3 linked regions of the Rattus norvegicus genome follow. The protein of the gene in region 1 purifies or fractionates together with the protein of each later gene. This does not show direct contact. Links are inferred from orthologs where the notes say so. Each region holds a gene or a part of one and is shown in the gene's direction. Other genes may lie near its edges. The genes, in order: Tns2, Utrn and Dtnb.

Region 1 (6,663 bases):
GCTCAGGACTGGCTGCAGTCAGTCTGGGTGTTATGGGACAGCGCTTGTGTGTCTGGGCCGGCCTGTCAGCTCACAGAATATGAGCCTCATGTGGGGAGGGCAAGAGGAGAGGAGAGTCAGACCCCCTCACTCAGCGAGATTCTCAGAAAGCCCTCGCATTTGAAGTGGGGGTGACAAGGACATCACATAGCTCCTCCACGTGAGGAGGCCTGAGTAAACCCTCAGGGAGGAGTTAACCCAACCAAGGTGACGCAAGGGGTCACATTCCAAGCCCTGTAGAGGACAGGCCTCATGACTACCCTGGAACAGCTGTGGCCAAGTGTGCCTTAGAGTTCAGAGACTTTTGGCTGGAAGAGAGGGATGCAGTCGCTCTAAGGAAAGGTCCCTGCCCAGCCTTGGAGATGGGCCCACTAGGAACTCATAACCCTATTTGTCTGTCATCCCTCTCGCAGCCTAGGAAAGCAGAACCGCACAGCTTCCGGGAGAAGGTTTTCCGGAAGAAGGCTCCAGTGTGTGCAGTGTGTAAGGTGACCATCGATGGGACCGGTGTCTCGTGCCGAGGTGAGGGGCTCTTGCTGTTCTTATGGTGTTGAGCCCTCCAGTAAGCACTTCTGTGCTGTGTGACTCTAGCTCTAGAGACCGGCAAATTCAGAAACAAATGCCCTCAGTCCCCTTGACACCCACCTTGCCACCGCCCAGGAGATTTGTGACCACCTTCCCATCCTTTTGTGACTAGGGGCTTCCCTTCCTCCTCCTCTTCCTCTTCCTCCTCCTCCTGTTCCTCTTCTTCCTCCTCACCTCTATTCATCTTAGACGCCAACCTCTGGCCCTCTTCCCTGCTGATAACCAGCTCTGTTCTTCGACTCCAGTGACCCAGTGTACTAGGGTCCCAGGGTTGGCTTCCAAGGCCTGGAGGACTAGAGGACAGCTACTTTGACTGTTCCCATAGCCTCTGCTAACCTCTATCCTCCCCTTCCTTTCTCTAGTCTGCAAGGTGGCCACACACAGAAAATGTGAAGCAAAGGTGGGTATCCAGTCCTAGCTAATGGGGGACGGTGTCTTTCCCTGCCCAAACAGGTTTCTTCAGCCACACTGGCATCGTCTTCCACCCAGTCCCCTGTCACTCCTGGAGACCCCTTCCTGGGTGGCAGAGGTGTTGTGTTGGGCTCTTTAAGAACCACCCTACTCCACCCCTGGAGGGTTGGCCCAGGAGGGTGGACAGTGAGACAGCGTTTGTCTTGGTGCTGTGCCCGGGCTGCAGCTGGCGAGAGGATGGGGGGGGGGGTGAGTTGTGGGGGAGGAAGGGCGGGGTGGATAGAGAGGGAGCAGGATTTCAGAGACCAGGCACCCGGATGGGCCGTGCCTTCCCTCTGAGGAAGGGTCCTCAGGATGCCTGAGTTGGTCTTATCCTGGGTGGTGATGGCTGAGCCTGTTTGGGTATACCCTGTAGGTGGTACCCACTGTCCACTGAGACCCTGAGGCAGCCCCCCATCTCTGAGGAACGTTCCTGGTCCTCCATCAGTGCAGGGGATAGTCCCAGGGCCTCAAGCTAGCTTGGGGGAGCTATGTGCCCCATGGGTGGGGTCTCAACGGTGAAAGAGGCTAGTGTCCACCCCTGGCCATTGCCTGGCTGGCTGGCTCTATATATAACTCCTGTCCTGCAGCTGGATGAATGGGGGTCTGTGTGGGCAGGGGGCTGAGAGCCAAGAGCAACAAGCAGGGGGCCTGAGGGGTGGGAGACCGAGAGGCAGAAACAAGGCTCCCTTAAATAGAGGAACCTCAGCTAGAGCTTGTGCTCATCAGGTGACAGGCCCTGCATCTTCCTCCCTGAGGCTGAGCACCCCGTTTCACCAGCTCAGCCTTAAACTCCCACCTCTTTCCAGGTGACTTCATCCTGTCAGGCCTTGCCCCCCGCGGAGCTGGTGAGTGTGCTCAAGGATGGGGCAGGGAAGGCAAGGAACCTGACTAATATCCCGGGGTCTGGTGGTCTCAAAGTGGGTCTCCAGGTTATGTAGTACTGAATGCTGTGGTTTATTGGTCAGTTATCCTCAACAGATGACTGTCGGAGCCCTTCGTTGTGACTGTCTTCTAGGGCTGGTTGGGGACTAGAGTCCTGTCCCCAGGGAGTGGACACTGACATGCGCTCCCACCCCGCCCCCAGGTCCAAACTGGTCCTTGCCCCTGCCCTAACCACTCCCATTTCCTCCCCCACCTCCTCACTCTAGCGGAGAAACACAGCCCCAGTCCGGCGCATAGAACACCTGGTAAGGGATGCTAGGAGCCTGAGCGGGAAGGGGCGGGCGTGTGGGTAGCTCTTGGAGTAGGGACCTACATTTGCAGAAGACCACGGTTTGTAGAACTTTTGACCCGGAAGCTTAGAAGCGATGCATCCAAACAGTTGTCGGCATACGGTTTCTCATCCACCAGGGGTCCACCAAGTCTCTGAACCACTCAAAGCAACGCAGTACTCTACCCAGGTGAGTGAGGACGCCCGGTGATCCCACGTAGGCACTTTCCACTGGACCGCTACTCAGCTTATGGCAGTGGCCGCCAATAAAGCCCCCAGGACAGTACTCCCCCTCCGGGCCACCCACCCTAAGGACCTAATAGGTCGCCCAGAGCTCCCCAGGATCCTTAGCCCCTGGGCCGCCGCGCTTCTCTGTTCTCTAAATCGGCTTTGCGTCCTCTCCCAGGAGCTTCAGCCTGGATCCGCTCATGGAGCGTCGCTGGGACTTGGACCTCACCTATGTAACAGAGCGGATCCTGGCCGCAGCTTTTCCTGCACGACCAGACGAGCAGCGACACCGAGGCCACTTGCGAGAGCTGGCCCATGTGCTTCAATCCAAGCACCGAGACAAGTACCTGGTGAGAAGCGGGTGGGCCAGATCCAACCAATGAGAGGGCTGGGAGATTCAAATGGGGCGAGGCTACTGTTTCCCCATCAATACCTGAGATGGGGCTGGAGAGGGGGCGGTGTTCGCGAGCAGGGGCGGGGCGGGGCGGGGCCGGAGGTTAGCCAGTCACCGCAGGGTGCAGAGAATTCAGCTCCAGCGGATTACAATCTTACTATTTTTAGAGCAAGATGCTCGATGAGGGTTCACCTCCAGCACCTGCATCTCAAGTCACCGTCATCTAACTCTGCCCTTTATTTCAGCTCTTCAACCTTTCAGAGAAACGGCATGACTTGACCCGCCTGAACCCCAAGGTAGGAGGGAAATGGTCTGTTTGCCGTTTATTCCGAGCCAACCTTGTGAAAAGGCTCTGCCTCCTTGTTGACATCCACTTTTCTCACACTACTTAAGATAACTAAAAACGAGGTGCTGGGGTTATCAGCCCACAGTATGGCGGAAAAAAGTGTCCAAGCTACTGTGGACAACTACTAAGTTTGCGCCTTGCCCCCAGGTCCCTGTATTGTATTCACATCTTCCTCCCTTTGTTACACACACACACACACACACACACACACACACACACACACACTTGTACTTGTACTTCCCCAGGTACATGACTTTGGCTGGCCGGAATTACATGCCCCACCTCTGGACAAGTTGTGTTCCATCTGCAAAGCCATGGAGACGTGGCTCAGTGCCGACCCTCAGCATGTGGTCGTGTTATACTGCAAGGTGAGCCAGGACCTTGGGGTAACAGAGCTAGGACAACCTCAGCCTAAAAGTTGCAGGTTCCCCATCTCCATCTCTTTATCTCTTAGGGTAGCAAAGGCAAGCTTGGAGTCATCGTCTCTGCCTATATGCACTATAGCAAGATCTCTGCAGGGTGAGTTGCCCTGCTTCAGTGACCCCTCCTCGTCCGGCCCTGTCTGAGCTTTTTTCTCCTTAGTCAGACTATACACTTGGTACGGTACTGTCTATCTCCAGCTGTGGGCCCAGCACACCACAGCAGAGGAACTGGGCTAGTTTCTTAGGGCCACCAGCTAAGTGCCATAGACTAGCTTAAAATAATATAGCTCAGTTGTCTTACTGTTCTGAGATAGTAAAAGTCCAAAGTCAGTGTCAGTGGGGCCACGCTCTCTCTCTGGGACTCTAGGCGGACTCCTTCCTTGCCTCTTTCCAGCTTCTGGTGGTGCCTGACAGTCCTTGGCAGTTCTTGGCTGGCAGCGGCATCCCTCCACCCCCTGCTTCCGTCATCACGTGGTGTTCTCTTTGCGCGCCTGTTTCTGTCTCTCCTCTTCTAAGGATCAATCACCCTAATTAAGGACCCACCTTGCTCCTGTATGATCTCATCTTAACCTATCTAACCACATCCGCAAAGACCCTATTTCTAAATAAGGTCACATTTGAGGTACATTTCTCTGGGGGAGGGATACAGTTCAACCCATCAGGTTGTCTAACTGCCTCCTTTTAAAAGTGAGGAAAGCCAGGTTCAGTTGCCCAAGGCCCAACAACTGGGCTATGCTGGAGGGTCTCTAGCTCTCTTCACCACCACTGGGAGTTCCTCTGTACAGAGAGGTTCCTCCTTTCCTGGGGTTTAAGAATGGAAGGCAGGGGGTTGGGGATTTAGCTCAGTGGTAGAGCACTTGCCTAGCAAGCACAAGGCCCTGGGTTCGGTCCCCAGCTCCGGAAAAAAAAAAAGAATGGAAGGCAGGCGATCTTCCTAGAAGTGTATGAGTGACAAGCAATAGCATAAAAGTGATATATACATATATATATATATATATATATATATATATATATATACATACACACACATATATATATGTATATATATGCGCTTAGTTTGTAATTGTTCAAGTGATTCATGGGAATACAAGATAAGGCAATTTAAACTTTTTTTAAAAACTTAAAAAAAAAAAAAAAAGAATGGAAGGCAGGAATGGGACCGGTCCTTAACCCCCGACCTCCCCTGCTCTCCCCAGGGCAGACCAAGCGCTGGCAACCCTCACCATGAGGAAATTCTGTGAGGACAAGGCGGCCATGGAACTGCAGCCCTCCCAGCACCGGTGAGCACCCCAGTGGGGAAGGGCTGACTCTCCCTCTCAGGTAGCACACCTGAATCCCACAGTGTACGGGAGCCCAGTGAGCCAGGCCCTGTGCCAAGTTCTGGGAAGTCAGAACAAACAAGGTCAGGCTCCCGTGGTATTTATATGCTAGTAGAGTAGAAGGCAAGAAGCCATGCGTAAACAGACTAGATCGTTCTGGCTGACAGTAAGGTCTGTGACAGGAATAAAGCAGAGGCTTGTAAGACTCCACAGGATGCGCAGGGCTTGCCTCCTTGAAGTTTAGAAGAGCCTTCTAGGTCTCTCAAGAGCTGCCAGGTTGGTGTGAGGCGCCCTCTAGAGGAAGACACTGATGTTTTCTTGGCACTCCCCACCCTCCACCCCCTCGCCAGCTATGTCGGCTATTTCAGCGGGCTGCTGTCAGGCTCCATCAGAATGAACAGCAGCCCTCTCTTCCTGCACTATGTGTTTGTACCCGTGCTGCCAGCCTTTGAGCCCAACACAGGTGAGTCCCCCCGGGCTGTATCCCATGGGGATAGCCACCTCCTACCCCACACCCCTCATGGCTTCTTCCACCCCTCCAGGCTTCCAACCCTTCCTCAAGATCTACCAGTCTATGCAGCTGGTCTACACATCTGGAGTCTAGTGAGTGCCCTGCTCCCAGGCCCTGACATCAGCTTGCTTGCCCAGTCTTTCCAGGCCCAACCTTCTGGTTCCAGTCGGAGAGGCTGACAGTGTCTAGCTTTATGCCCTCCCTTCTGCCTTTGTGCCTCTGACTTCTGCCTTGTCTCTACCCAAAGCCACATCACAGGTCCAGGGCCCCGCCAGATTTGCATCAGCCTGGAGCCAGCCCTTCTCCTCAAAGGCGACGTCATGGTGAGGGGGCTTGTAATACTGAGTGGGGATTGCAACGGGGTGGGAGGCTTCTAGTCATGTAGGCAACTGGCAAGGCCTGTGTCTGAGTTAGGGTTTTACTGCTGTGACCAGACACCATGACCAAGGCAACTCTTATAAAATCAACATTTAATTGTGACTGGGCTTACAGGTTCAGAGGTTCAGTCCATCATCATCAAGGCGGGATCATCTGAAGGTTGCTAGTGGAAGACTCCCTTCCAGGCAGCTAGGAGTAGGGTCTTAAAGCCCACACCCACAGTGACACACCTACTCCAACAAGGCCACACCTCCAAATAGTGCCACTCCCTGGGCCAAGCATATACACACCATCACAACCTGTAAGCCAGAGCAGAGGCCCAAAAGAAAACCCCACCCCTGCTATCCCAGGAGAGTTCATGTTGAGGCTGGGGCACAACAGAAGCGGTGGCCAGTGACTAGGTGGCCCTTGGGGTAAAAGTGTAGGTAAGGCAAATCGGAAATGACGGCCTGACCCCAGCCCCCTGCCCTCCTTCAGGTGACCTGCTACCACAAGGGTGGTCAGGGGACAGACCGGACCCTTGTGTTCCGAGTTCAGTTCCACACGTGTACCATCCATGGGCCACGGCTCAACTTCCCCAAGGACCAGCTAGATGAGGCCTGGGCTGGTGAGTCAGAGGCCAAGGAAGTGGCAGTTGGGTAGGGTAAGGAAAGCCAGCGAGGCATGGCTCCTCACCTCCACCCCCTCTACAGATGAGCGGTTCCCTTTCCAAGCCTCGGTGGAGTTTGTCTTCTCCTCCAGCCCTGAGAAGGTCAAAGGTAAGAGTGGGAGCTGGGTG
Region 2 (6,763 bases), on another chromosome or scaffold:
GTAATCTATACCACACACTTGATCTGAAATCAGGAATCTTGAATGTTCTTGCTTGCACGTCTTATCTCACCTAAATGAATCCTACATTCTTCTAGGGCGAGATCTATGTTGGCTTTCTATGTATCGTTGGCCACAGCAAGCCTCGTACCGATGCTGGCTAATGGGAGGAGTGGAAGTGGACGAGAAAGTCAATCAGTTCCTACTAGGTGATTAGATTCTCTTCGGCTTGTATGGAGAGCATCCTCCAAGGTGAAGTTAAGTCAGACTTTATAAAGAAGTCTCTTCTGTCTCAGCCCTCAGTACTCGAGACCCCAGAGGTTTTCAACTGGTGATTAACACGAGGCTAGTGAATTATTTTCACTGGCTCATAAATTAACCCTCCAGGATTAAGGAAGCACATATAACACAGATTTCATTTAGTCCAAGATAGGTCTTGGCTAACCCTGTAAACTTGCAACAAGTTTTGCAAACAGATGTAAGTTTGCTTGAAAAAAAAAAAGAAAATAAATAAATAAATAAAGAAAGAAAGAAAGAAAGAAAAAGAAAGAAAGAAAGGAAGGAAGGAAGAAAGAGAGAAAGAAGAGAAGGAAGGAAGGAAGGTTTGGCAGATGGTGCCACTGGTAAGGCCCCTGATGAATATTAAAGTCTGAAGATTTGAGTCTGAACCCTGGATTCCTCATAAAGGTGTAAAGTGAGTGAGAACTGTCTCGACAAAGTTGTCCTCTGACTTCATGTGTGCACTGTCACCAGCACCCCAACACCATACATCATGTACACACACACACACACACTCCTACACACACACTCATACACACACATTCATACACTCTCTCACACACATTCACTCTCACACACACATTCACACACTCATACACACACTCATACACACACTCATACACACACTCATATACACACTCACTCATATACACACACACACATTCACACACACACTCATACACACACATTCACATTCTCACACACTCATACACACACTCGTATACACACTCATATACACACTCACATACACTCATACATACACTCATACATACACATTCACACTCACACACACATTCACTCTCTCTCACACACACTCATACACACACACTCACACACTCATACACACACACTCATACAAACGCATTCACACACTCTCACACATACACTCATACACACACACTCGTATACACACTCACTCATATACACACTCACATACACATTCATACATACACTCATACACACACATTCACACTCACACAAACATTCACTCTCACACACATTCACTCTCTCTCACACACATTCACTCTCTCACACACACACTCATACACACACTCATACACACACACTCATACAAACACATTCACACACACTCTCACACACACTCTAACACACACACTCATATACACACTCACTCATATACACACTCACACACTCACACCCATGCACTCACACCCACACACTCATGCACACACACTCACACACTCTCACACACATTCACACACTCTCACACACACATTCACACACTCTCACACATATATTCACACTCTCTCAGACACACATACATTCATACACTCATACCCATGCACTCACACTCACACCCACACACTCATGCACACACATACTCACACACTCATATACACACTAACACACACTCACACCCACGCACTCACATGCACTCACACTCACTCACACCCACACACTCACACCCACACACTCATGCACAGAGAGAGAGAGAGAGAGAGAGAGAGAGAGAGAGAGAGAGAGAAATTTAAAGGTTAGCACCGACGTTATTTGTGTATATGCACATATAAGGACACTTGGGGTTGTTTAAACAGCATTTAAAAAAGATGCTAAGAAAATTGTATAAAATAAATATACCCTTGGATTTAGAACCGCAAACTCAACAACCTCAGTAAACAGAAATGGGATGAGTTGGCCAGCAGGTCGAGATTTATTTAAAATAAAAACTAAAAGAAAAAAAAAAAAAAGCACTCGGTTAACAGACACCTAGTGTGCCTAGGGGGGCGTGACACCCATTTTCGGACAATTTGAATAAAAGGCACGGTGCGTGCGCATGGTGCCTACTCCAGCTTCTGCCTTCCAGCATGCACGACTGGTTCCGGGATTCCCGCACCGCGCACCGCACGGAGCGGGCGGCTGCGGCTGGGAGGGCGCTTAGGGCTAGTGCTGATTGACCGGGCGCGCGGTCAGGTGACCCGAGGCGCCACGTTCCGGGAGCCCGGCTCCCAGTGGCTTCCCAGGCCCGGGCAGGGCCGAACCCGGAGCCTAGGGGGACAGGTCTCTCCCGGAGAACAAAGTTGCTGGGCCGGGGCCCCGAGCCCGGGGCGCGCGAGCGGCTAGGCGTCTGATCCGACCCGTGGGATCCACGGCTCCGAGGCTGGGCGGTCCGTGCTGAGAGAAGCGAGCTCCTTCCCGGGTGGCGGGCCGACCCAGCAGCGCCCCACCCTCGCTCTCCAACAAAGGGGCAGGCGGCGGCCGGGGGAGGACCAGGAGGAGGAGCCGGAGCAGCGAGCAGCTCTCGCGCACAAAGTTGTGGAGTCGTCCTTCCCCGGAGGAGGGGAGCGGGCAGCGCCGGGCGCGGGATTTCTCCCGCCCAGGGCCGAGGAGGAACCTTGGGCTCCCTCAGCGGATCCGGCGACCTCCGGGAGAGGCGTCCCTTTTCTTTGGGGTCATTCCTGTAGAGGGAAAACTCCAGCGTGCGCCTGCCCCCCGGGCTAGCGTTTGGACTGTTTTGTTTTTGGCGGAACTACCGGGCAGGAAGATTGCACAAGTCAGGGGGCGTTTCCAATCGGGTGTCAATTTTGGATCCCCCCACCCCCTTTGGATTTTGTCGGGCTTTCCACGTTTCATTAAAAAAAAAAAAAAAAGGAAAACCAAAATTCTCCTAAGGTCCAACGCAAGCTCCCCACTACCCGAACACGCCCAGAGGAACCCTGGGGCCTCTGGGACTTGGTTAGCAGGTAAGCCCATGCATTATTGAAGCTTCGGGCTGGGTAATGTGACCGCAGTCCCGGAGGGAACGGGGCGGGGGCTGAAAGGAAAGGAGGTGGGTCCTTTCTGCAGTTCCACCGCCTGGGTCCCGAAGTAGCTGTTGCCAACTTCTGCACTTTCCCTGGAAGCTCTGCGTCTTCTGACTGGGCGGGAGAGAGCTGGGATGAGAAGGTGGGAATCTGTACTGGTCGCCAAGGTCTCAAATTCCTAGGTCTAGTTTAGCGCTGTTGTCTTGTCCCTCCCTTGAGAGGAGAGGGTGCTGTCGCCTGTCTGTTTATCGCCCCAAGCAGGGCAGCAGGACTAGCGATCTTCAAGAGGGGACGTGGCCTCTTTGGAGAGCTTGTCACACACCTCCGGTTCCCGGGAAGGCGGGGCCCGGGCGGTGTCCCGGAGGAGAGGGTGGGGAGGGCGGCTGTATAGTGGGAGGGTTGGGGAGCGCTTTCTAGCCGGCCTCCAGGCTGGGGGCGTGCTCGACCTCTCGGTAGTTGCCGTTCCTCAGGGTGGGGCCCCAGTGTGGCGAGGTGGCCAGCTCCCTGCCTGCAGCTCTGGAGAGACTGAGGGGTTAGGGATATCTCATTGGTGCGCAGTCCCGCGCGGCTGCCTGCTTTTCCGGACTCTTGGCATCCCTCACTGCAACTGACAAGGTAATTCTTGCCCCTCTTTGGCCTGGGTCTGAGGCTTTGCTTGCCCAAGGCCACTTTAAAAGCCAACAAAGAGCTAATTGTAAGCTGTGCAACTTTTAGAAGGCACTTTGTTCAAAGAGACTTTTCAAGTCCCTAGATTCCGACCGTGCGGCGTTCCAGGGTTATTTCAAGGGGAGGAGAAAACGTGTGTTACTCTTCAGAGTCAGGGACCCGCCTTTTTTAAACCCCCAAATTGGAGATCCTGGGTGTAATTCCGGGCTCCACTCTTTGGAGTCACTGAGGTAGCATCCTTTATTCGTCTTGCCTTCAGATACCTGGGTCACCAGTATCTGGAGAGGTAGGCTCTCCATGCATTTGAGTGGGAGGGTTTGCCGCGGCCAGAGCGCACGAATTCCGGAAGAGATAGGATCTCCAGGGTGGCGCGGTAGCAGCCTCATCTATTCCGTTGGAACTTGCCCTGGGCCTCTGAAGTCAGGCTGGACCCGCGGGGGCTGGCTGCTGCTGGGCGCTGGGGACGCAGCCTGCAGATTACACTGGTGCCTGCCTGTAAGAACTGGAGGAATTTGAAGCTCGTGGGTCGTTCAGTCCCGAAGACAAGGCAGTGAGGGGCATAGGCCATTCCCGCTGAAGCGCCCCGCCCCCCACCAGCATTTATGAGACCTTCGAGATAGCTCTTTAACCAAAAATTTATTGCGCCCGTAAACAGCATTAATCACAGTGGCATTAACCTTTCCTGGAGCGCTTCTAGTGTGAATGAATGGCAGTTCTTGGCACTCAGCGGTCTCCTTTACAAGCAGAATGGCAAACTTGTTCCTCGGCTTCCCTCTCCAGCATTCCTAGCTTTTGACCACTTGTGAGTGACTAGTGTTTGCAGGACTTAGCTTTTCTTCACAGCTGCTTGATTGAATATTCCTTTATGATGACACCTTTTGAATGTTGCAGATTCTTGAACTTTTGCCTATAAAGCCACCAACCCTGGCGTTCTGTTTTGATATGACAGAGAAGCATCCACCCTGAAGAGCCTGTGCTGTGGTGCGCGTCAGTTTCTGTGGGGAAACTGAATGGCATCGGCTGTTATTTTTGAGAGGAGAGCAATTATGTATAGGGCTCCTGTCCAACCTCTGGGTCATTCACCTCTAGTTTCTCCCTTACCCCCGTGTGGAATGTGGCTCCTTCCATTCCACGGGCGTGGGTGGAAGTGGAGTCTCTTTGGGACACATCGTTACTAAGAAAATTTTGATTCTGTCCCCATGTAACTCTACCAGCAGTTACAGAGTTACAGTTGCCATAGCGTTTTATTTATGTTATTTTGAGAAAGGGTTTCGGGTTGGGGATTTAGCTCAGTGGTAGAGCGCTTGCCTAGCAAACGCAAGGCCCTGGGTTCGGTCCCCAGCTCAGAGAGAGAGAGAGAGAGAGAGAGAGAGAGAGGGAGAGAGAGAGAGGGAGAGAGAGAGAGAGAGAGAGAGAGAGAGGGAGAGAGAGAGAGAGAGAGAGAGAGAGGGTTTCACTATGTGGCTTAGGCTGGCTTTGAACTGGCACTCCTCTTGCTTCAGCCTCCGAAGTAGCTGGGGTTATAGGTGTGCACCACCACACCTGGTTTGCATCTGGAAGTTTGGAAGGAGGTAACCTTTAACTTTCCAACTCAACATGGAGCTCCTGGAACATTCGCGGCCACAAGAGTTGGTGGCTGGTAAATGTTTTAAAGGACCTTCTCTTAATGTGTTCGTCCTCATTCTTTTCCAGTTTATTGATTTTTTTTTTTTTTGGTCCTGCTATGTTTTTGCAGTGTAGTAGGAATTTGCATTATCAAGAAGAGAAGATTGGAAAAAATTATCCCAAGGAGAATGACAGAATCAAACATTATGATGAAGAAGCATTATTGGTCCTATGCAAATGAAACCTGTGTACAAGAGTTAACTTTCTCTCAAAATGAAATTGGCGGCATTGTGTGTGTGTGTGTGTGTGTGTGTGTGTATGTGTGAGCATGTGTGCCTTTTTAAAATATGGCTCTGTGGTTAAGAGAGAGTTCAGGTTCATTTTCTTATGTCCATTTCTGGCATCCTTGGGCACCAGGTATACACACGAGGTAGACATTCACATATAAATTGAAAAAAAATGCATTTTTAGATATTTATTTATTTATCGAGTGTGTGGTGATCAGGCTTAGCGGCAGGTCCCTTCCTAATAGAGAGGACACGTCTTTGAGGAGCCTAACTGTGGAGGTCCCTGGATAAAACCAGATGTGAAGTAGCACAATAGACCTGTCTTTCAAAGGGACCTCATTCCAGAAAAGAGACTTTTTCTTAGGCAACTGGATTCCCCATAATAGAATGTTTACATAATCTGTGGATAAGATTTTGGTTCTCTAATATATTAAAGATACACATAAAAGTTTAGCAAATCTTTTACACTTTCAAGATAGGAATATATTAGCTTTTGATTGTATTCTTTGTGGGGAGGTGTTCCCCATCCCCCAAGCCTCATGTAGCCCAGGCTGGCCTCAAACTCTCTGTACAGTAGAAGGTAGCTTTAAACTCTGGCTTCTCCAGCTGGAGTCACTGGTCCACTCCTGGTGGAAGCTGCTAGGCAAATGGCCAGGCTGCCAGGCTTCTTGCCTGGTTACTTTTGACTTTAATTTCATTTTTGTAGTTCTGGGGAGCAAACCTAGAACCATGCCTACCCTAGGAAAGCAGAGAATCACATCTTCAGCCCTTTGGTTTATTTTTAATTTTTAAGACGACTAGTTTGGGATTTATTCTGTAGCTCAGGCTAGCCTAGGATTTTGAGAACCGTCTTTTCTCTGTCTCTTAAGTACTGGGACTACAGCTGTGAGTCACTATACTCAGGTCTGTGTATAGTCATAATAAACATTTAAGAAGTTTTTTTTAATGTCCTATAAAGTCTGGGAGGCTGATGAGCCCATCCATCTATTGAGAGGAAATGGTTCTTAAAGCTTTAACAATTTACCAGTGTTCCTTTCCTTCAACCGTTTTTGACTCTCATTTTGCTCTTATTAATGGACTCCTCTCACTTCCTGAGTTGCAGAAAAAGAAAGTTACTATGCGGTATAATGTTCATATTTATATAATAAAGAAGTGCTGTATGCTACA
Region 3 (6,763 bases), on another chromosome or scaffold:
TTTGGGTAAGCGGTCACTTCTCCAATTGGGCTTGGGGTAGCAGGGGAAGTTTTAGAAATACCCAGCCTTTGAGGCAGCCAAGGCATTTTAAAATTGACTGGCGCACGCATGCGCGTGTATGTGTGTTCCATTCATGAATTCAGAGTTCCTGGGTGGGTGACCCTCGGGGAGCATAAGGCAGTGTAGCACAACAAGCTCACCCCATGGAAAAGCTTCAAGATGAAACATCTTTGCTTGCACTTTTATAAGCTAAAATCCATTTAGGAGCCAGAGATATGGAAAAAGATGGGGACAAAGAGTGGATACAAGGGGTTAGGGGGAATTTGCGTGCATGTAAGCGTGTGTGCATGGGGGGTGAACTGAGTCAGATTCGTGAACAACAGGCTTTAGAGTGGAGGCATGCCACAAAGCTGAGGGACTTGTGCTAGCAAATGCCACAGAAGGGTCCAGTAATATGAGGACTCCAAAATGGATGATGGCGGTTGGGATGAAATCAGTCATTGATGTGGTCAAGAGTCACAGCCATGGCTGGACAGGCTGCCGAAGAGGTGTGTGTGGGGGGGACTTTTCAAGGGCGTTTAGGATGGAGAACACAGAGGGAGTGGTAGCTGGAGCCGAATCTTCCTCCCTAGGATAAGTAAGGTGAACGCTATAGATGACTAGGAAAACTATAGAACTATAGACTGTAGAATGCTAAAGACGACTAGGAAACAACCAGGAAAGACACTGATAATCTTGAAATATGAGGCGGAAAATGGGCGAACATGTTTGAAAGTTGTTGTGAGGATGTGAAGTGCTTCAAGAGATAAAAGGCTGTTAACACAAGTGTAAATTAGTGAGCTCTAGAGAAGTTTGTAAGAGCCCACTTCAAACTTGAGATAAGACGTGAGGCAGTGAGATAGAAGAAATAAGGTGTTTATTGATTTACCTTGACACTGGCTCATCCTGCAGCATGGCCTCACACCCAGAGTGATCCTTCTGCCTCAGCCTTCTGAGTGCTAGGAATTACAGGTGTTTGAGGCCCCGTACTGGGTTCCTATAGCTTCAGTTTCACAGTCTACCTCATTGCCAGAGTCAATGTTTTTACCCATCAGTGCCTTCCCCATAGCAGGAGCTCGATACATGGTAAGAAACTAAATGTCTCTTGACATAGTCGGAATATCCTTACATGGTTGGAGCAGTCACCACCCAGCAACCAGTGAGTCTCCTCCGACATGCAAAGCAGCCACACGATTCCTGTGTAAAAAGTAATGTATTCCCTCCCCCTCAGAAAAAAAAAGTTATCAACACAGCACTGACTGCCTTCACCATAGGAATTTAAAAATAGATTGTGAGAAGAGGAGGAAAAGGGTGTTCTAGAGGCAGCCCGACAGTGTGATCGAAGCAGGTGGCACGATCTGCTTTTCCAGAAGGTGCCAGAAAGCTTCAAAAAGCTTCCCTAAAGCACAAAGGCCTGGAGCTGCTTCCATTCACACATGCACGTTCACATACACCAAAAACCTAAGGGATATTGCTGTTGTCTTAATGTTGAGGGGAAATTTTTTGATTTTTGAGACGTTAAAAGAAGACTTCGATGTCCCTAAAGAAGGATTCTATAAAAAAATGGCAATATGAGGGGCTGGAGAGATGGCTCAGCAAAGAGCACTTGCTATGTTATCCGAGGACCTGCGTTTGATTCCCCAGCATCCATCCACACTTCACAGTTCCAGGGGATCCAAAACACTCTTCTGGCCTCCGGGGGCACTCACGGGGTGCAAACATTGCAGCCCAAACACTCATACACATAAAATAAAACATAAATGCTTTAAAAAAGGATAGATGAGTTGGTAATAAATATAGATACATAAATAAATGAAGCTTTGTCGCCCCTGCTCCCTTGTCCAAGCTGTTTAATGTCCAAATACTCCCACTTTCAGGAACTACTGAACGACTAAGCGGAAAGTAATCTGTCCCTCCTCATCCTCTCACCGCATCCGGCTGTGGCTTGCCTTTGCGCAGAGGACCGGACTCGGTCCTTCGCAAGGCTGCTCTTCTCCCTAAGTTATGCGCTCTTGGGGACCAGGGCCGTGACCCAGATCGTGTCCACCGGGCACCAGGCGCATGAGTTAGTGCTCAAACGAGCCTGCTGAGGCAATGTGGAAAGTCACTCGGGGGAGGACCCGGCGCTCGAGGCGCGGGTGAATGATTCACCGGGTATTTCTTCGCATTCCTTACGGTTCAGTCACGTCGGCGCAGCACCCAGCCGCCCGGCAGCTACCTGTGGAGTGGAAGCGCACCTCCGCCTCCACCTCCGCCTCCGCGGCCAGCGCACAGCAGAGGCCCGGAGGGGGCGCGCAAACCCGCGGGAGGGCACTCGGCCGCCTCCCCGCCCCCTCTGGCGGCGGAAGCCCCGCCCCTCCGCGCGCCCGCCCTCCGCGCGCACCCGCCCTCGCCCTCGCCCTCGCGCCCTCGCGCCGGGGGCGGGCTCGCTGCGCGTGCCGGGCGGGGAAGCGGCGCGAGCCGGCGCCAGGAACGTTCGCCGCGGGGGCGGCTCCGGGGCCTGAGTGGGCGCCGCCGCCTCAGTCGCTGCCGCTGCTTCAGCTGCCTCTGCCGAGGGGGCCGGGTCGGAGGAGGCTGCGGCCGCCGGAGAGCCACGCGACGGCCCCTCAGCTTCGGCCGGGAAGCGAGCCAGGTGGGGAGTCCGCCGGGGCTGGAGGAGCGAAAAGGAGGGCTGCGGGGTGGCGGAGCGCGCGGCCCTGGAACGGCGACCCTTGGGAGACCGCACGCCGGGCCGGAGAGGGCTCTCCGGTCACCCGGGCGCGCGGGGGGCCGCGGAGCGCAGAACCCGGCTGCGCGCGCTGCTGATGCAGCCTGAGCCGGACTTGCGGGGAGGAGGCTCAGCGTTAGGTGCTGAAGGGGGCGAAGGCGGCAGGTCCTGGCAGAGGGCAGGTGAGGTAGGCAGGCCCTGGCAGAGGGGAGGGAATTCATTCCAGATCACCTCTCAGTGTCTCCCGAGGCTCCCGGTAGACGAACCTGTCTACTCAGGTCACCTCTGATGGGCACAGTGTCCCGAGAAGAGCGAGGATGCAGCTGACGAATGCTTACTGTTAAATTCCTGTGCCAGGCCTTGGGGAATCAGGGAGACCTTTCTAGCATTCTCTGCAAGCGTTTATTGATTAGCTACGGAGCAGGAGAGAACCGCGGTCAGCGCCCGGGTCACGACTTTATCACTCTCAACCATCATTTATTTGCTGTTGAAGTGCTGACAGTCCGGCTGTGAAAGTATACACACAAAATGTAAAGTGCTCTATTTTATGTTTCTTGTTCTGTTCACTTCAGGTCTCTTTAGGATTTTCCCAGCCCTGGGAAACTGGGCCGTAAGTTGCTTGGCTTGTGGAGAAAGTAAGATACTTGAGGAAAGCTGGTGGGAGCTATTGGGAAGAGATTTGAAGGGTCTTACTGACATTTAAAAGAGAGGGGAAAGAAATTTGGAAGGAGAATCTTGCCTTCCCAACTAGAATTAAGCTCCGCGCCTGTTTTCTGCCCAGTCCTCAGGATGTGGCCTGGATCCCGAAAGCCCTACAATGGATGCCCACTGCAGGAGTGGATGGAGGGACCAGGGTTTGATACATTTGATATGAAGTAGTGTCAGTCTCTGTAGAGTTAGGGATGCTCGCTGGCTTCCTTTGGTCCTAGGATTCTCTTTTTGCCTTCTCAGGTAACCCAGGGTTTTAGACGCTAAACCAGTGGCTTAGGTGGCAGACTCCGGTGGCTTGTGGCCACTTCTTCATCCACGCGGTTCTTGTATGTTGTGCACCAGAAGCTTGTTCTTTGGGTGGCTGCTTGAAGTCAGGTTCCGGTCCTTCTCTCATTGGCCTTTTCCCCCCTCCTCTGTCGTTTGAGGAGGACTGGAGGGAGCTTTTGCCTAGAGAACACTTTATAATTTCTATCCTGCCTCTTGGATCTTGGTTCTGAGGTGAGAGAATGCTTAAGTCTCTTCAGGTCTGTAAGGGCTGGAGTTCTGTCCTCTGCCTTGCTTGGACTCTCCAGCCCCATACTGCTGCTTCCTTTCCCTGGCTTGCAATGCCTGTTGGATTACTTTGCTTGCCAAATTAAAACTTGACCTTTTATGTGTTCTCTGAGGATTTTTATCAGACTTAAGTGGAACTGCCTCTGAAGGGGTTGTGCAGGCAAGGTGGTGCTGGCAGGGTCTTTAGCTTCACTGAATTTTGCCCGGGAGACAGAATATAGTTAAAATATTAGAGTGCGCAGGATTTCCAGTTACCCTTTATTTCATGTCTTCAGATGTTAACATATCTGACCCTTAGTCTCCTTATATAAAAAATAAGAGCAATATTAATCCAAATTTGTCATTGGATATATAGAAGCCTTGAAGTATATTCATTTAGTTCATTTTAATTAGTATTTGCATTTCAGGGTACAACCATTAAGTCTCTCTTAGGTTTTGTTTTGGGGTGCCTATGTGGCTTTGCAAATTTGGGTGTCTTGTTTCGGGCACTTCTAATATTTTATTTAGATATTTAATTTACATTTATTTGAAAATAAACCCTCTACCCCCGGTTTTTGAAGCAGGGTCTTGCTGAGTAGTAACCCCAGCTATATTGGTACTCGAAATACAGTAGCCCAGGCTGTAAGTTGACTTTGAACTGTGGCTATCCTTCTGTTAGTCCTTCCTGTGAAGCACCATGGCTGGTTAAAACAAACTTTTTGTTTGTTTGGGTTAAAGATAGGGTCTCTCTCTGTCATTCTGACTTTGAACTTATGTCTATTCTCCTATCTATGTGTCCTGGGATTACAGGTGTGCACTACTGTGCCTTCTTCATGTGTAGTTTACATAGGATAAAATGGATAGACTTTGCATATTGAGTTGGGTATTTTGAAAAAATGGTACATATTGGTGGGCATGGTGGCATATGTCTTTAGATTGAAGTCCTTAGGAGGCAGAGGCAAGCTGATCACTTCAAGTCCAGCTAGGGTTACATAGGAAGACACTGTTTCAACAACAACAAAAAAAGCAAAACAAAGTAACAAAAGTCCCTCCCCCAAGAAAACAAACAAAAAAAGAAAAGACATGTGTACTTTGTAACCTATCCCAATCAAAATATATACTTTTGTATCATGAGAAAGTTAACTCCTGCTGTCTTGGGGACAACCCCTCCCTCTATTTTATTAACTTAAAATTACATAAGCATTAGAGCTGTGGTTTCTAGATGTGCTGGAGGTACGCTGCTGTTCTAGGGTGTCTTTTGCACTGGAGTCTCTCTGTGCTGGCAGCTCCTGGAGTTGCAGTAGTTTGAGCAGTTCAGAATGCATATTTGCTTGTAAATTGCTCCAAATAAAACTCCCTTGACATACCTACTCCTTTTTCTACTCCGGTTACCAGTTTGTTGTTTTCTTCCCAGGCCTTTTTCTATGCATTTTACTTTTTTTGCATGTGTATGTGGTATGGGGGAGTCTGCATATGGTATCCATGTACCATACATTGTATATGCCTGTGAAAGCCCAGAGTTGACACTGGAGGTTCTCAGTTGCTCTCTTACTTATTTATTAAGTTCAGCCTCCTCCTGAACCTGGAGCTGGCCAATTTGGCTAGTCTAGCCAGTCAGCTCGTTCTGATGACTCCTGTCTGTCTCTAGAGCGCTGGCATTGTAGGTGGCTGCTATACCTGCCTGGCTTGTATGCGGGTTCTAGAGATTTGAACTCCAATTCGTATATTTGCGTGGCAAGTGCGTTATCCACTGAGTCATTTCCAGCTCTCTTTGCATTTTACTATAGCATTCTGTCTAGGTTGCTCTGTAGACTTTTTTTTTTCATGTTGGAACACAAGACCTGCGTAGTCTTTACTGTGTGATTTCTTAATGTATGTTGCGCACTGTACTTAGTATATTTAAGCCTCTCTTATTATTGGCAGTGAATGGAAATCAAATACACCTTCTAGTCTGAGACTTTTCTTAAAAACAAAAATGTAATGTTTGTCATAAATATATGAAAACTTCTTTTCTAAGTGGCTGTGTATGCTCAGAAAAAAATTCTCAAGCTGGTGATATGACTCGGCAGGTAAAGGCACCTGTTGCTAATCCTGATGGTCTCAGTTCAATTCCCAAAACCCTTGTGTTGAAGGAAAGAACTGATTCCTGTGGTTGGCCTCTGACCTCCATCTGCTATAGCATGAGGGTACCCACACACATACACCCATACAAACAAGGGTAATAAAGGAAAAAATTGAAAATAAATATGTCTTTATGTCACGCTATGAATTATATTTCTGGTTTCTTTTACTTGGTAATATGCATTTATACCTGCTTATGGACTGATGACTTATTTCCTTTTAGTAACAAATAATATTCCAGTCAGTGGAAATACCAGTTTGTTTATTCACTCATCCAGTGAAAAGTCTTGGTAATTCTGAATAGAACTGTTGCAATCTTCTGTGTGCATGTTATTTTGTAGATACAAGTTTTTTTTTTAACCCACTTGGATAAGTTATGAGTACAACAGTAGATCAGAATATGCCAGATCAAATATATGTTTGGCTGTATATGCCAGATCAAATATATGTTTGGCTGTATATGACAGATCAAATATATGTTTGGCTGTATAGGAAACTGCCAAGCAGGCTTCTAAAGTGATTACCATTTTGCATTGGCAATAAATTTTAACATTTATATCCAAGCGCCCTGAATGTATATGTGAAATCAGTTTTGTCTTGCTGTCTATGAATTTACTCACTAAGTAAATACTCAGTTACTGCTGTCCTGACTGG

The links.
Region 2: the proteins of Tns2 (region 1) and Utrn purify together in Homo sapiens (affinity purification with mass spectrometry; 4 studies listed by BioGRID and IntAct, with this or other methods). This does not show direct contact. The link is inferred for Rattus norvegicus from reciprocal best matches to the Homo sapiens genes TNS2 and UTRN.
Region 3: the proteins of Tns2 (region 1) and Dtnb purify together in Homo sapiens (affinity purification with mass spectrometry; 3 studies listed by BioGRID and IntAct, with this or other methods). This does not show direct contact. The link is inferred for Rattus norvegicus from reciprocal best matches to the Homo sapiens genes TNS2 and DTNB.

Annotation. Positions count from the first base shown.
Region 1 is NC_086025.1:135,113,810-135,120,472, forward strand, and holds part of Tns2 (tensin-2), read left to right. Parts: intron 1-452; coding exon 453-561; intron 562-986; coding exon 987-1,024; intron 1,025-1,883; coding exon 1,884-1,922; intron 1,923-2,225; coding exon 2,226-2,264; intron 2,265-2,427; coding exon 2,428-2,477; intron 2,478-2,693; coding exon 2,694-2,865; intron 2,866-3,154; coding exon 3,155-3,205; intron 3,206-3,500; coding exon 3,501-3,623; intron 3,624-3,709; coding exon 3,710-3,774; intron 3,775-4,168; exon of another isoform or gene 4,169-4,299; intron 4,300-4,873; coding exon 4,874-4,957; intron 4,958-5,346; coding exon 5,347-5,459; intron 5,460-5,538; coding exon 5,539-5,599; intron 5,600-5,754; coding exon 5,755-5,830; intron 5,831-6,362; coding exon 6,363-6,492; intron 6,493-6,577; coding exon 6,578-6,643; intron 6,644-6,663. UniProt on the Homo sapiens protein: Tyrosine-protein phosphatase which regulates cell motility, proliferation and muscle-response to insulin. Phosphatase activity is mediated by binding to phosphatidylinositol-3,4,5-triphosphate (PtdIns(3,4,5)P3) via the SH2 domain.
Region 2 is NC_086019.1:9,040,604-9,047,366, reverse strand, and holds the start of Utrn (utrophin), read left to right. Parts: upstream 1-2,879; 5' UTR 2,880-2,978; intron 2,979-3,052; exon of another isoform or gene 3,053-3,180; intron 3,181-3,436; exon of another isoform or gene 3,437-3,653; intron 3,654-6,763.
Region 3 is NC_086024.1:32,283,491-32,290,253, forward strand, and holds the start of Dtnb (dystrobrevin beta), read left to right. Parts: upstream 1-2,991; 5' UTR 2,992-3,261; exon of another isoform or gene 3,262-3,276; intron 3,277-6,763.